Linked DNA regions of Oryzias latipes. The protein of the gene in region 1 interacts with the protein of each later gene in a pairwise test. Links are inferred from orthologs where the notes say so. Each region holds a gene or a part of one and is shown in the gene's direction. Other genes may lie near its edges. The genes, in order: gripap1, rab4a and disc1.

Region 1 (3,651 bases):
ATCAGATGAAGGAGCTGTTATTGAATGCTCCAAAGGGGATGTTTGACTGCAGATCTGTGTGAAAAGCCTGGTCTCTGATCAGTTCTGCAGCATTGTAGTGTGTGTCTGGCCTAACAGACTGCCCCTGCTGTGTGCGGCGCCCTCTTTAGGCCTGTCAGAGAAGAGCATAGAGAGGAGTGTAGGTAAGCAGGCAGCGCTAGGCTGGTCGGCTGCACTCTGTCCAATAACTCACTGCTTTGGACCAGAACTGGAGATGGCACTGAACACCGAGCAGGAGGAGAAGAGGCTGCTGAAGGAGCAGATCCACAGTCTGGAGGTACACACACACACACACACACTCTCACACAGTCACACACCAGGGTGAAAATGACATGGGGCTGTGCTGACTGATCCTGGCTGTTGATGACATTCATACATTCACCCACTCTGATGAAAATGGTGTTTTTGACGTGTTTGTCTGAAGATGGAGAACATTTATAAAGAACATTAGACTAAAAATTGCATTTCTGGTATTTCTTTATTCAAATCTTTGTGAATCAGAAGCAGATGAAAAAATTCAGTTGGTAAAAGAGCTTTTATATGACTTAGAAAATACTCTTTTTTTTTTTTCCCCAGCTCGTAGAATCAGTGTTTCTATGAGTGAGCTTGTTGGAAGTCTGCACCCCTTCCACTGAAAGCGGTAGAATCTCAAACGGTTTGAACGTTGGAGGTGGGGGCCAGCAGGCACCACATGCTTTTATTGAGACATCTGATTAAGCATCATGAAAAACATTAGGATGAGCAAAAACATGATAAGAAAATATCAGATCAAGAATGGTTCTTCTGACCAATAGAAGTCTATGGGATTTTGGCTTCTTGGAGCCAGCAGGTACTTCCTGTTTGGATCGCCAGGGGGCGGGGTCACTCAGTCCAGATCTTGTATGCAGCCAATGGCCCCAACTCCCTGCTCTGCCCCATTCTCATGCATCCACCGTCAGACAAATAGATCCCTGAACGTCTTTGTTTTTCCTGGTCTGAGCTGGAATCTGGATCAGAACTGTGCAGCTGCAAAGCTACCATATTGCTTTGCCTTTTTTGCACCGGTAATGTTTGGGTGGGAGTGTGAGGGGATGTAAGCTAGCAGGAGAGCACGTAAACGGAAAGCCACCAGTAACAGCGAGGGGGGAGGGGGCGGTGTTGTTCCATGCCAGCGGTCACGCCCACAACTTGGAGGTGAATTTCTAATGAGCTCCTGCTGCCCTGCAGAAACTATGTCCTAGAAAACCACACCCTTTTTTTGATTTGGTCTAAAAACAGCATCATCATAATTAGAAGTCCATTGGGAACGATTTAAAGATGTTTAGAGTGGGACTTTAAAACAGCTCCATGTTCTCCATTGGATGCTGTGGTATTATTGTTGTAGTGATGCATTCATGGTTCTGTTTTTCCACTTTTTAGCACCGTCCTGTTTCACATCTTCCTTTGTTTTTCCATTTTACAGTCTATAGTTTCCCAATAAAACAAACTTTTTCCTTGTCATGTGACCATCGGTTAAGATGTGGTGGGACACAGATGACCTGCGTGTGAAGCTGAGAAGAAATTTAAGTGGGACCATTCAATACACAAAGAAGGCTTGGAGGCAAATAAACCAAATTAGGTTTTCATTCAACTTAGTGCTTGAATTTTCCAAGGAATTGTCTCAGCAATCGATGTTACATTCCTGCAACTAAACGGTCAACAAATTCCAGACGTGCTCAAAAACTGTCATGACTCCGGCCTGTCACTAAGGCTGCAGCCGACATCTTACTGTGACATTAAAAACGTTTTATTGTACTAAAATCCTTTTTGTATGCCAGTATCCCATTAGAAGAATCTTTAAGCTAACATTTAGCTATTGACAGAAACAGACACTCCCTTTAAGGGTGTAAACCCAGACATCCGGGCCTCATGGTCAAAGGAGCCTTATGAATCTGTGAAATGTTCCTTTCAGGCAGAACGGATGATGGGCTTCTACCAGTACTGGTGTACTTTCCTAACAACAATAAAATAATTCACATAAATGCTGGCCATCCTAATATATTAAAGCAAAGATGCAGGAGAAGTTTCAGCTCAGAAACCTCAAGTGTGAACTGAAGAAACCAGAACCACTGAACAGATGGTCCAACCTGTATCCAAACTGTTTTTAGTTTCCTCTCATGTCCTACGATCAGATAAAGATTGGTTTATTTTTCTGTCAGAGAGGCTGAGTCAGCATAACACTGGTTTCTGTGGAAGCACAGAAACCTCATGGCTGAACCCACTATTGATTGTTTAAATGGTTTATACAGCGCTGCCTTTGTGTTTTGCCGGGGTTGACTTGTGAAATAACCTGTGAGAGGTGAAGTCATAAAGTAGGGTTACAGATGTTTTAATGCTGTGAAACTCCTCACTACACACTTTTCTCAGACAAATGGGATTTCCCCCCCCTTTTCTCCCTTGTTTAAAGTCTCAAAGTTCAGATCTTCACATACAAATGAGTCCAATATTATAGACTAAAATCAAAGATCTGATTGCGATTTCCAGTCCCAGTCCCATTCACCCATGCACACACACAACCACACACCGACAGTGGCTCTGCTGCCGTTCATGCCTGACCTTTAACCAATGTCGTGGTCACCGTCTTGTCCAAGGGCACTTGACCCATGGGCAATGGGGGATGTTCATCACCTCACGCTGTTGGCTCAGGGTCAGACTCCCAGCATGCACCCTCACTCCCCTTTCAGAGGTGTCTATGGTGCCTTAGGTTTGTGGCATAACCACATGGGGATTAATCATCACTTTCAAGTGTCTGCAGTTCAGACACCTCACACCTTTGGCCCGCTGCGCCTTCTGTCTTTTACCCACCCAGATGCCTGACATGTGAGGCACTGGCACAAAGCTCCAAACAACAACCGCTTGAGCTGATGAAGGTGGTCTGAACTGCTCTCATGTCCTCTCACAGGCGTCCAAACAGGCCGAAGTCGCCAAACTCCAGGAAGAGATGATGAAGGTAAAGGGAACCTTAACAATCCACCAACCAACTCTTGCTTCTCGAGCCTGACCTGTCTGTCTGTGTTTCAGCTGTCTGACAAGTTGAAGAAGAAGCAGGAGAGGTGAGATGTTCATTACTTCACCATAACACCTTCAGTCTGAGGTTCAGCACATCATAATGGGAATCACCTGGTCCTAACCTCAGCTGAAAACGTGAACTCTTCTCTAAAATACCTCAGCTGTGTTCGTACTGAACGGCATTTGCACGGCAGAGGTTCCAATGTTGAGTCAATGCACAGACGAGATGAGAGGTCCTGTGGCGCGATTTAAGCCTTGACGCTCTGGGGCTGACACAAAAACACCCTCCACTCAAGCAGCAGTGAAGGCTCGCTGTACAGTGTTTCCAGAGTACAAGTATCTGAGCGTCAACCAACAAGGTACTCTGCATAGACCATTGACATGATGATGATGTGATCAGCGGGTGGAGTTTCTCTGCTAGCATGGAGACGATAATAAAAAGGTTATTTAATTTAATATCTACCCTCCTGGGACCAATGAGGGACAGCAAATGGTCAAACTGGATCCCAGAGAGACAGAAGAACTGCTGAAAGTAGCTTTCATTCAGATGCAGCTCCTGCAGTGGAGGAGGAAGCTCACCGTACC
Region 2 (4,118 bases), on another chromosome or scaffold:
AGGTGCCCACCAGTTAGTTTCAGCTGCGCACCAATTAGTTTCAGGTGACATTATGACATTGTCAGTAATATTTCGTGTTTTCAGAAAGTTTATAAGGTCCATATCCTCAACTTTAGCCATTCTCAAGACAACTGTAGCTACTTGGTGCACAATGAGCAAGCAGGTCAACTATCTGATATCTTCTGATACTAACTGGTGCGCACCTGAAACTAACTGGTGCGCACCTGATACTAACTGGTGCGCACCTGAAACTAACTGGTGCGCACCAGTTAGTTTTTTTTCCTATTTACTTCAAAAAAAAAATTTTTAGCTCAAAGAATTTTTTTTTACTTCAAAAAAAAAAAATTTCCTCAAGTTTTTTTTTTTTTCATCAATGGCCCTTTAGGGGCTCCGTATTATTGTGAAAATGGGAACATGTGCAAAACTAGTTTGACTAGGATTACACAGGGAAAAAATTAGCAACACTTTATATTTAAATGGCTACACAATCTAGTTTTTTTTTATTTATATATTTTTTCAACGTTGCAAACTAATAGAGAAATACACGAATAATAGGAGCAAATTACTTCAAGAGGAAGTAATTTGAGCACATTTGAAAACAAATGATTTTGCTAAAAGTGGCTGACAGTTGTCCTAGTGAATGGAAACGTCCGTTGGCTAGCTAGCTATCTGTTAGCAAAACATCGTCATGTTTCCCCGTAAACAACAGCTAATGGATATTTATCAAAGTAGAAAAAAATCACCTTCATGGAGTGCGCCCCAGGAGTAGCGGGACTGCTATCACTTGGTGGTCTAATAATAGGGAATAATGTAGCCATTTTAAGATAAATAATGCCCACAGCTAGGCTAATGATTAGCGGGGGAAACTACGTTTCTTCTTCTTTGGACAACCACGGACTCGGTTGACGTTTGTGTAAATTCAGAGCGCCACCTCCTAGATCCTCCAAAAAATATGTTAAAAAGAGAGAATTTGTACACAACATGCAAACCAATTAATTTACATATAGATAAAACTCTCAGCGAAATGGGCTGTTTTTAAAATTTACTTAGAACGGCGAGAATTTATTTTTCATTAATTGAAACCATAAGAACATATCCAAACATCACCCCCACGCGGTAGTTTGAGGACTATGTGGCATAAGTGTCATTTCAGAATGCTTTTATTTTGAAGAAAAAAAACCCACACACACCGTACAGGAAGTTGGAGGAGGAAATCATAGAATCCAAGGAAATCACCAACAGGACTATTTCCATCACTTAGCAAGCTAAACAAATAACAGTTTCGCCTTTCTCTGCCTTGCAGCTTAGCTGACACACCGAGGATGTCGGAGTCTTACGGTAAGGAGGCTGTCTTGCTTTATACCCGTTAGAATCTCACACACAGATGGCAGGAAAGGGATGATGAGGTCCCTTCGTAAACAAATAGCTAGCTGGCAGGCTAACCGAGCCACTGAGGAGTAGGAAGGTTTTGGCCTTTAAACTCAAATGTCAGCGTTAATAAATCTGCCTTCCGGGTACAGGTGTATTAGTAAAGCTTTATAATGCAAGAAGCTGTGACTATAGGAGATGCTATTGTTCCCGGGATAAGCACTAGGACACAAAGCAAGAGACTCCCGCTTTTCTTTTGCAAACGCAAGTGATGATAGGATATCTCTGTGTTTTGTGAGGCATTGCTCAAATTACACTATGCTACAACTGTTCAATCAATTGAACCAACATTAAACATGATAATTATCTTAGTGGGAGTAAAGAATAAATATATATATATAAGGCTTTGTTCGATCTGTTTACGACACATTTGTCTTGATTTGTATAGTGTAGACATCAGATGTGTACATGTCAACAACTGTATCAAAAAAAAATTAAGAATAGTTGAGTTTATTAATAACAAGGCAGCATATTCAAACCCTGTTTGCTTTATCTATGTTACTACTGTGTTCCCTCTGCAGACTTTCTGTTTAAATTCCTAGTGATTGGAAATGCTGGAACAGGCAAATCCTGCCTTCTGCACCAGTTCATAGAAAAGAGATGTAAGTTTGCTTCAGTTGTAATCACTAGAAAAAGCTTTATAATAATGACACAGTAATTGCCCGACTCTTTTATTTAAATATCTTTAAGGTCCCACTCAAAGACAGTCGTTATTTGTGTGTTTTTAACATATTTTTGTGACATTTTGTTCTCATTATAATGGACATTTATGTAAAAATTAAGCCTAAAATTGCATCTCTGAGTATTTCTTTATTCAAATCACTGTGATTCAGGACCAGTTGCTTGTAGATGTGACATAGAAGCTACTATGGCGAGCTACAAGCTCCCTGCTCCGCTTCAATCCGATGCATCCACTTGTAAACAAATAGATCCATGAACGTCTTCATTTTCCTCGTGTGAGCTAACATCTAGCTTAAAACTGTACAGCTGAATAGCTCTAATATTGCTCGCCATTTTTGTTGCACCACTAATGTTGAGGGGGTGTGAGGGGCTGTAAGCTAGAGGAGTGTAAACAAAAGGAAGATGGGAAAGGTCCCAGTCCCGTCCACAACTCAAAGATTCATTTTTTAATAACCTACTGCCGCTCTGCAGATACTATGTCCAACACAACAAGAGTTTGTTTGCTTTTTTCAATTTTGGCTAAAACAGCATAAACATTATTTAAAAACTACTGAAAACGCTTTTACAATAGTTCAAAAGATGATCGGAGTGGGACTTTAAGCAAATCTTGATGAATATTTTTAGTTTGACTCTTATTTTTTAAACAGATTTTAGCAAAGCAGTCACAATCTTTATCAGATTAAAAAAGGGCATTTTATTTTTGTAAACAGTAGGTCATTTTAAGGTGTTGAAAATATATGACTTACATGTGATATTTATGATTTTCCAGTCAAAGATGAGTCCAACCACACAATTGGAGTGGAGTTTGGCTCCAAGATTATTAGTGTGGTGAACAAAATGGTCAAACTTCAGATTTGGGACACTGCAGGTCAAGAACGTTTCAGGTAGCTAAACATCTTTAAAAATTCCTTCTACATTGTGGATGTTGCGTTTTTAGAGATGTCGGCGGTGCACAGCTACAACTTTTTTTTTTCCATTTCTGTCTTAAATTGGCAATAATTACTAAATGGATTTGGTATGCATTTGCTTAAGTGTCAACAATGTTCCCTTTAACCAGTATATGTTTGTCAGGTCCGTCACCAGGAGCTACTACAGAGGAGCAGCAGGAGCTTTGCTGGTCTATGATATCACCAGGTAAGACGAGGTGCGTTATTCTTTTATTATGTATACTTTGACTGCTTAACCATTTGTTTTGTTGTTTTTGTGGCTTCAGTCGAGAAACCTACAACGCCTTAACCACGTGGTTAAGTGATGCTAGGATGCTGGCCAGTCAAAACATTGTAATTATCCTGTGTGGGAACAAAAAGGATCTAGATGCTGACAGAGAGGTCACGTTTCTGGAGGCGTCACGCTTCGCTCAGGAAAATGGTTCGATCTTAAGTTTATAATCCTTAGCTAAAAACTATACAGTTAACTTTCATTATACGTAATTACTCAATGGTTTACTGTTTAGCACTGACTGGCCATTAGTGTGGAATAATCATCAGCGGTTTTCATAGCGGCTGCTCTCATCCTTACTCTGTGTTTGTGGCAGAGTTAATGTTCCTGGAGACCAGCGCTCTCACAGGAGAGAATGTTGAAGAAGCCTTTGTCCAGTGTGCCCGGAAAATCCTGAATAAAATAGAGTCAGGTGAGGAGTTCTAATCTTTGCCCACATTTGTTAAACACAATTTCCAAATCCCTTCTTATCCTAATGGGATAGTCCAAGCTCAGGTGGAGCTCAGGGCTTCAGTGAGCTAGTCTGGAGTGTTGGACCAGCTGGTCCAAAAGTCTGTAGTGGGGATGAAACCTCTGTAGGTTGTTTTCTCTTTATCTCTATTAATCAGCACCATTTCTCTACTCTTAGGAGAGCTAGATCCAGAGAGGATGGGGTCAGGAATCCAATATGGGGACGCTGCGTTACGCCAGCTTCGTTCTCCTCGCCGTGCTCAGCCGCAGGGCACCCAGGAATGTGGCTGCTAGTGGACGTCCTGTTACATAGCCCTTTGAAGGTAAACGTGTTGCTGTGG
Region 3 (3,651 bases), on another chromosome or scaffold:
AGGCGGGTGGACGAACAGAAAGCCACTAATTCTGACCGACTCCAAGAAGTGATTCTGAAAGAACGGGCTGCTATCAGTCAGGATTTGGGCCAGAAGTTGATTGACAGCATGCCCAGTGGGAGTACAGAGGTCCTGAAAAGAAGGGCCAAGACTGCAAATACTGACTCTTTGCATAAATGTCATGGAATTGTCCATAAAAGCCTTTGAAATGTATGAAGTGCTTGGAATTCTATTAACTCTGAGAAAACTAAAATTTGTGTCCATGACTGTAGACTAAATAGAACAATGCCGACTGACATTCTGAAAAAAATATGTAAGGAGATTTGTGGGGTAAAATTAGAATTTATCAATAGGTCAAAATGTTTCCACCGGAAGAAAAAGAAGGTGTAAACAAAATATTAAAGGTGGGAGTGATGTTGTTTGCCTGTTACCTGCCCCCGCCGCCCCCTATTACCCCCTTTGACCCACCCTCACTGGCTGAACGGTTGCTGTACGCCCCTCAATCTCCCCCTTTTGCCTCCACCACCCTGGTCAGAGCTGCATGGGACAAATTCGCGTTTTCTTTCAAAATGGCGGCTTATCTGTTAGTTTTATCTCCGTAGCAACCATTTACGTTTTTGGTCGCCTAGGGTTGACAAACAGGTCTGTGTAATATTTTTTGAAGTATCAGCAAAAGTACTTTTTCGGATTTCCTTGGCAACTGAAGTTTTTGGTTAACCACGCCCACATTCCTCATATATTCGTAAGGTATTAAATATTGTTTCGTTCAGCTTTAGCCAATGACCATTTGTCTAAAATCTTTAGAATATTTCGGTAAAAAATATGCGATCAACAGGGGAACGCCAAATTTGTGACCTCGCCACGCTAACACAAACTTTAAAACCAACATTTTTTCCCCCGTGAAGCTTCCCGATGACGCTCAAGGAGTTGGGAGGTGATGGCTGCTTGTTTGTTCCAGCTTCTTGAAGAAATTTGCTATTACTTGACTGAAATGCTTTTTTCTTACTGTCTTTTATTAAACTCTCCTTTCATTGCAGATCCAGCGTTTCCCGCCCGTGAGCTCACTCTTCATCTTCCTCCTGTCGCGGAGCTTAACGCCTAATCTCTGTATCAACAGGTGGCAGAGCGTTGGCGACAGCTGGCAGCTCTGGGCGAAAGAGGCATCACCGAAAGCCAGGCTACATGAGAGGAGAGCAGTCCAGGCTGCTGAGCTCTGCAGGTACCGAGGAGGAAGAGGAGGAGGAGGAGGAGGAGGAGGAAGAGGCGATAAGCGGCTGCTTTGGGAATGGAAACTGTGGATGCAGCACCGCCGTCACCCATGGCCCTCCAGCTCAAAGACTGAGTCCAGCTCCTGCTTTAATGGTTAATAAACCAACGGGTTTGAGGAGTGAGGGCGTCCTCGGCCCGGCTGCAGACATCCATCCTGCTCCAGCAACATCCAACCATCTGGGTCTGACCTCAGAGCCTCATGATGAGCTCAGCTTAAGGCTGAGGCCGGCTCCCCAGACCTCAGCAGAAGACTCTTTCACGTCCAGTTTCAGTTTCATTCAGCAATCGCTCAGCTCCAGTCAGAGGACCGGTTCTTCAGCTGCACCACTACAGGAACCAGAACCACCTACCAAAGCCCCCGAAGGACCACAACCCAAACCTGACTCCCAGCAGAACTTCTTAAAGCTCTCGCTTCCTGTCCACTCTTCACCCGGCCACGCACAGAAGGAGGACCTGCCGTCAGGAGGGAGGCTCTGGCGGGAAAGTCAGTGTTACGGTAAAGAGGAGACCTCCCACCTTCTGGACTGCGAGCCCCGTCCTCTGGACGTGGAGGTCACCTCCTCGCTGTCGGTGGATTCAGACACGGCCTCAGCCTCCTCTTTCACCTCCGGTTACGAGAGCGCCACAGCGGGCTTGGAGTCGGGCTGGGACGGCGTGGTGAAGAAGTACGAGGGCGTGCTGCAGGCCTGCCTCCGAAACAACCGCGCCTACACAAAGGTGGGCATAGCGGATCCTCTTGAGGGGGGCAGAGACTTCAAACACATTCACTTTAAAGTGCTGTCATTGCTGAGGGAGAACTCATGTTCTGTAGACTGTTTCAGATCATTAAATCAAATAAATCATGGCGCTAAAGTGCGCTAAAGAGAAAAAGCAATTACATTTAAAGCCGCGAGTGGTGTAGTATGGTTTAGCCCTCCCTCATTGGCTGAGTGGCTGCTACAAGCCCCTCCCTCTCCTTTCATGCCTCTGCCAGCCTAGTCAAACTTGCATGTGAGAAGAAGAAAAAAGCACTTTTTTTCAAAAATGGCGGCTTTTCTATTTGTTTCATCTCCATAGCAACCATTTAGTTATTTGATCGTCCGGGGGGGAGGAACAGGTCGATGTGCATTTTAGAAGGATCGCTAAAAGTAAATTTTTGGGTTTCCTTGGCAACAGAGGTATTTTGTTAGCCACGCCCACATTCCTGATATGTTTGTATCGTATGTCATATAGTTTTGTTCAGCTCAGCGAAAACTTTTCTTCAAAGATGCAGTAAATAGGAAAAATTGCAGAAACAATCTGGTCCTTCAGTCCAGAACGGCTGTGGGACGCAGATAGTTAAAGTTTTGAATCTTTCGGTCCGTGATGGCTCAGGTCAGATGGATGTGAAGGTCATGACAACATTTAGAAACAACCACCTTAAATATCTTGTTCAAAGCTAAGCCCGACAGGAAATGGAATGATGAGCAACAAAGGTCATGGTCTGGCTTTCAAAATAAAACACAAACGTTTATAAAATTAAAGGTTTGGACCATTTGTCATTAATTAAACACATTTAAGTTATTTTCAAAATCTGTGTTAAAAACTGGAAGAAAGTTAAAAAAAAAATCACACTTTTGATTTAAAAAAAAAGAGAATGGAGCAGAGCATAAAGTTATGTTCATAAGTTAAAATCTCCAAAAGCAGCAGAACTTTCTGACAGAATGACGGTCATTGTACTTGTCCCGTTCCCTGTGGGCGGCGTCCTGTGGGCTGATGTCTCCGTCTCTTCTCTCCGCCTCAGATCGAGTCCATGATGTTGAAGCTGCAGAGGCTCCAGCAGAAAGCCGTTCTGGACGACGACTACGACGCAGGTGAACGCCAAACACAACGTTTTAACCCTCTGAATCAAGCGTTTTATGAGGAACGTTTTGCTTGCATGCCATTATTTCACCATTGCGTGTGTTTATAGATTTTCCCATTAAAGTTGTCGGAGTGGAAGGAAGTGTTTGCAGAGCGATTATGACAGAAATCCCAGCTGTCAAAGGACCGTCAAGATTCAAACATTCATCTGTTTAACACTCGTGATCTTTGGGCTCTACTGCGTTATTTAACAACATGGCACAATCCAAACATGTTACATATGATAAAAGACCTGCAGCTAAAAACGGTTTTTGAACCAACCTCACTGAGGCTTGCAGGCGTTTGTTTGAACGGGTCGTCTGAGGCCACGTGTCACTCCGGGTCAGGTCAGGACTGTGACTGGGTCAGAGCAACACTTTGATCCGGAGCGCTGTCATGATCCACTTCCAGCCAAACATCAGTCTCTAAATGGTTTTTGTTTACAATAAAATGGAGGGGTCATGTGGTTTGCCCATGTTATAAAACTTCCTCCACTGTGCTTAATAACACTTTATGTCAGGG

Evidence for each region.
Region 2: the proteins of gripap1 (region 1) and rab4a interact in binary tests that used the Homo sapiens proteins (3 or more experiments, as listed by UniProt). The link is inferred for Oryzias latipes from reciprocal best matches to the Homo sapiens genes GRIPAP1 and RAB4A.
Region 3: the proteins of gripap1 (region 1) and disc1 interact in binary tests that used the Homo sapiens proteins (3 or more experiments, as listed by UniProt). The link is inferred for Oryzias latipes from reciprocal best matches to the Homo sapiens genes GRIPAP1 and DISC1.

The regions. Positions count from the first base shown.
Region 1 is NC_019865.2:32,147,605-32,151,255, forward strand, and holds part of gripap1 (GRIP1-associated protein 1), read left to right. Parts: intron 1-149; coding exon 150-182; intron 183-245; coding exon 246-316; intron 317-2,959; coding exon 2,960-3,007; intron 3,008-3,078; coding exon 3,079-3,110; intron 3,111-3,651. UniProt on the Homo sapiens protein: Regulates the endosomal recycling back to the neuronal plasma membrane, possibly by connecting early and late recycling endosomal domains and promoting segregation of recycling endosomes from early endosomal membranes.
Region 2 is NC_019861.2:24,497,839-24,501,956, forward strand, and holds the start of rab4a (ras-related protein Rab-4A), read left to right. Parts: upstream 1-1,188; 5' UTR 1,189-1,322; coding exon 1,323-1,338; intron 1,339-1,949; coding exon 1,950-2,030; intron 2,031-2,878; coding exon 2,879-2,993; intron 2,994-3,180; coding exon 3,181-3,243; intron 3,244-3,322; coding exon 3,323-3,477; intron 3,478-3,643; coding exon 3,644-3,739; intron 3,740-3,955; coding exon 3,956-4,071; 3' UTR 4,072-4,100; intron 4,101-4,118. Other genes in the region: phf10 (PHD finger protein 10), read right to left, coding at 744-818. UniProt on the Homo sapiens protein: The small GTPases Rab are key regulators of intracellular membrane trafficking, from the formation of transport vesicles to their fusion with membranes.
Region 3 is NC_019873.2:28,418,204-28,421,854, forward strand, and holds part of disc1 (disrupted in schizophrenia 1 protein), read left to right. Parts: intron 1-1,117; coding exon 1,118-1,986; intron 1,987-3,031; coding exon 3,032-3,101; intron 3,102-3,651. UniProt on the Homo sapiens protein: Involved in the regulation of multiple aspects of embryonic and adult neurogenesis. Required for neural progenitor proliferation in the ventrical/subventrical zone during embryonic brain development and in the adult dentate gyrus of the hippocampus.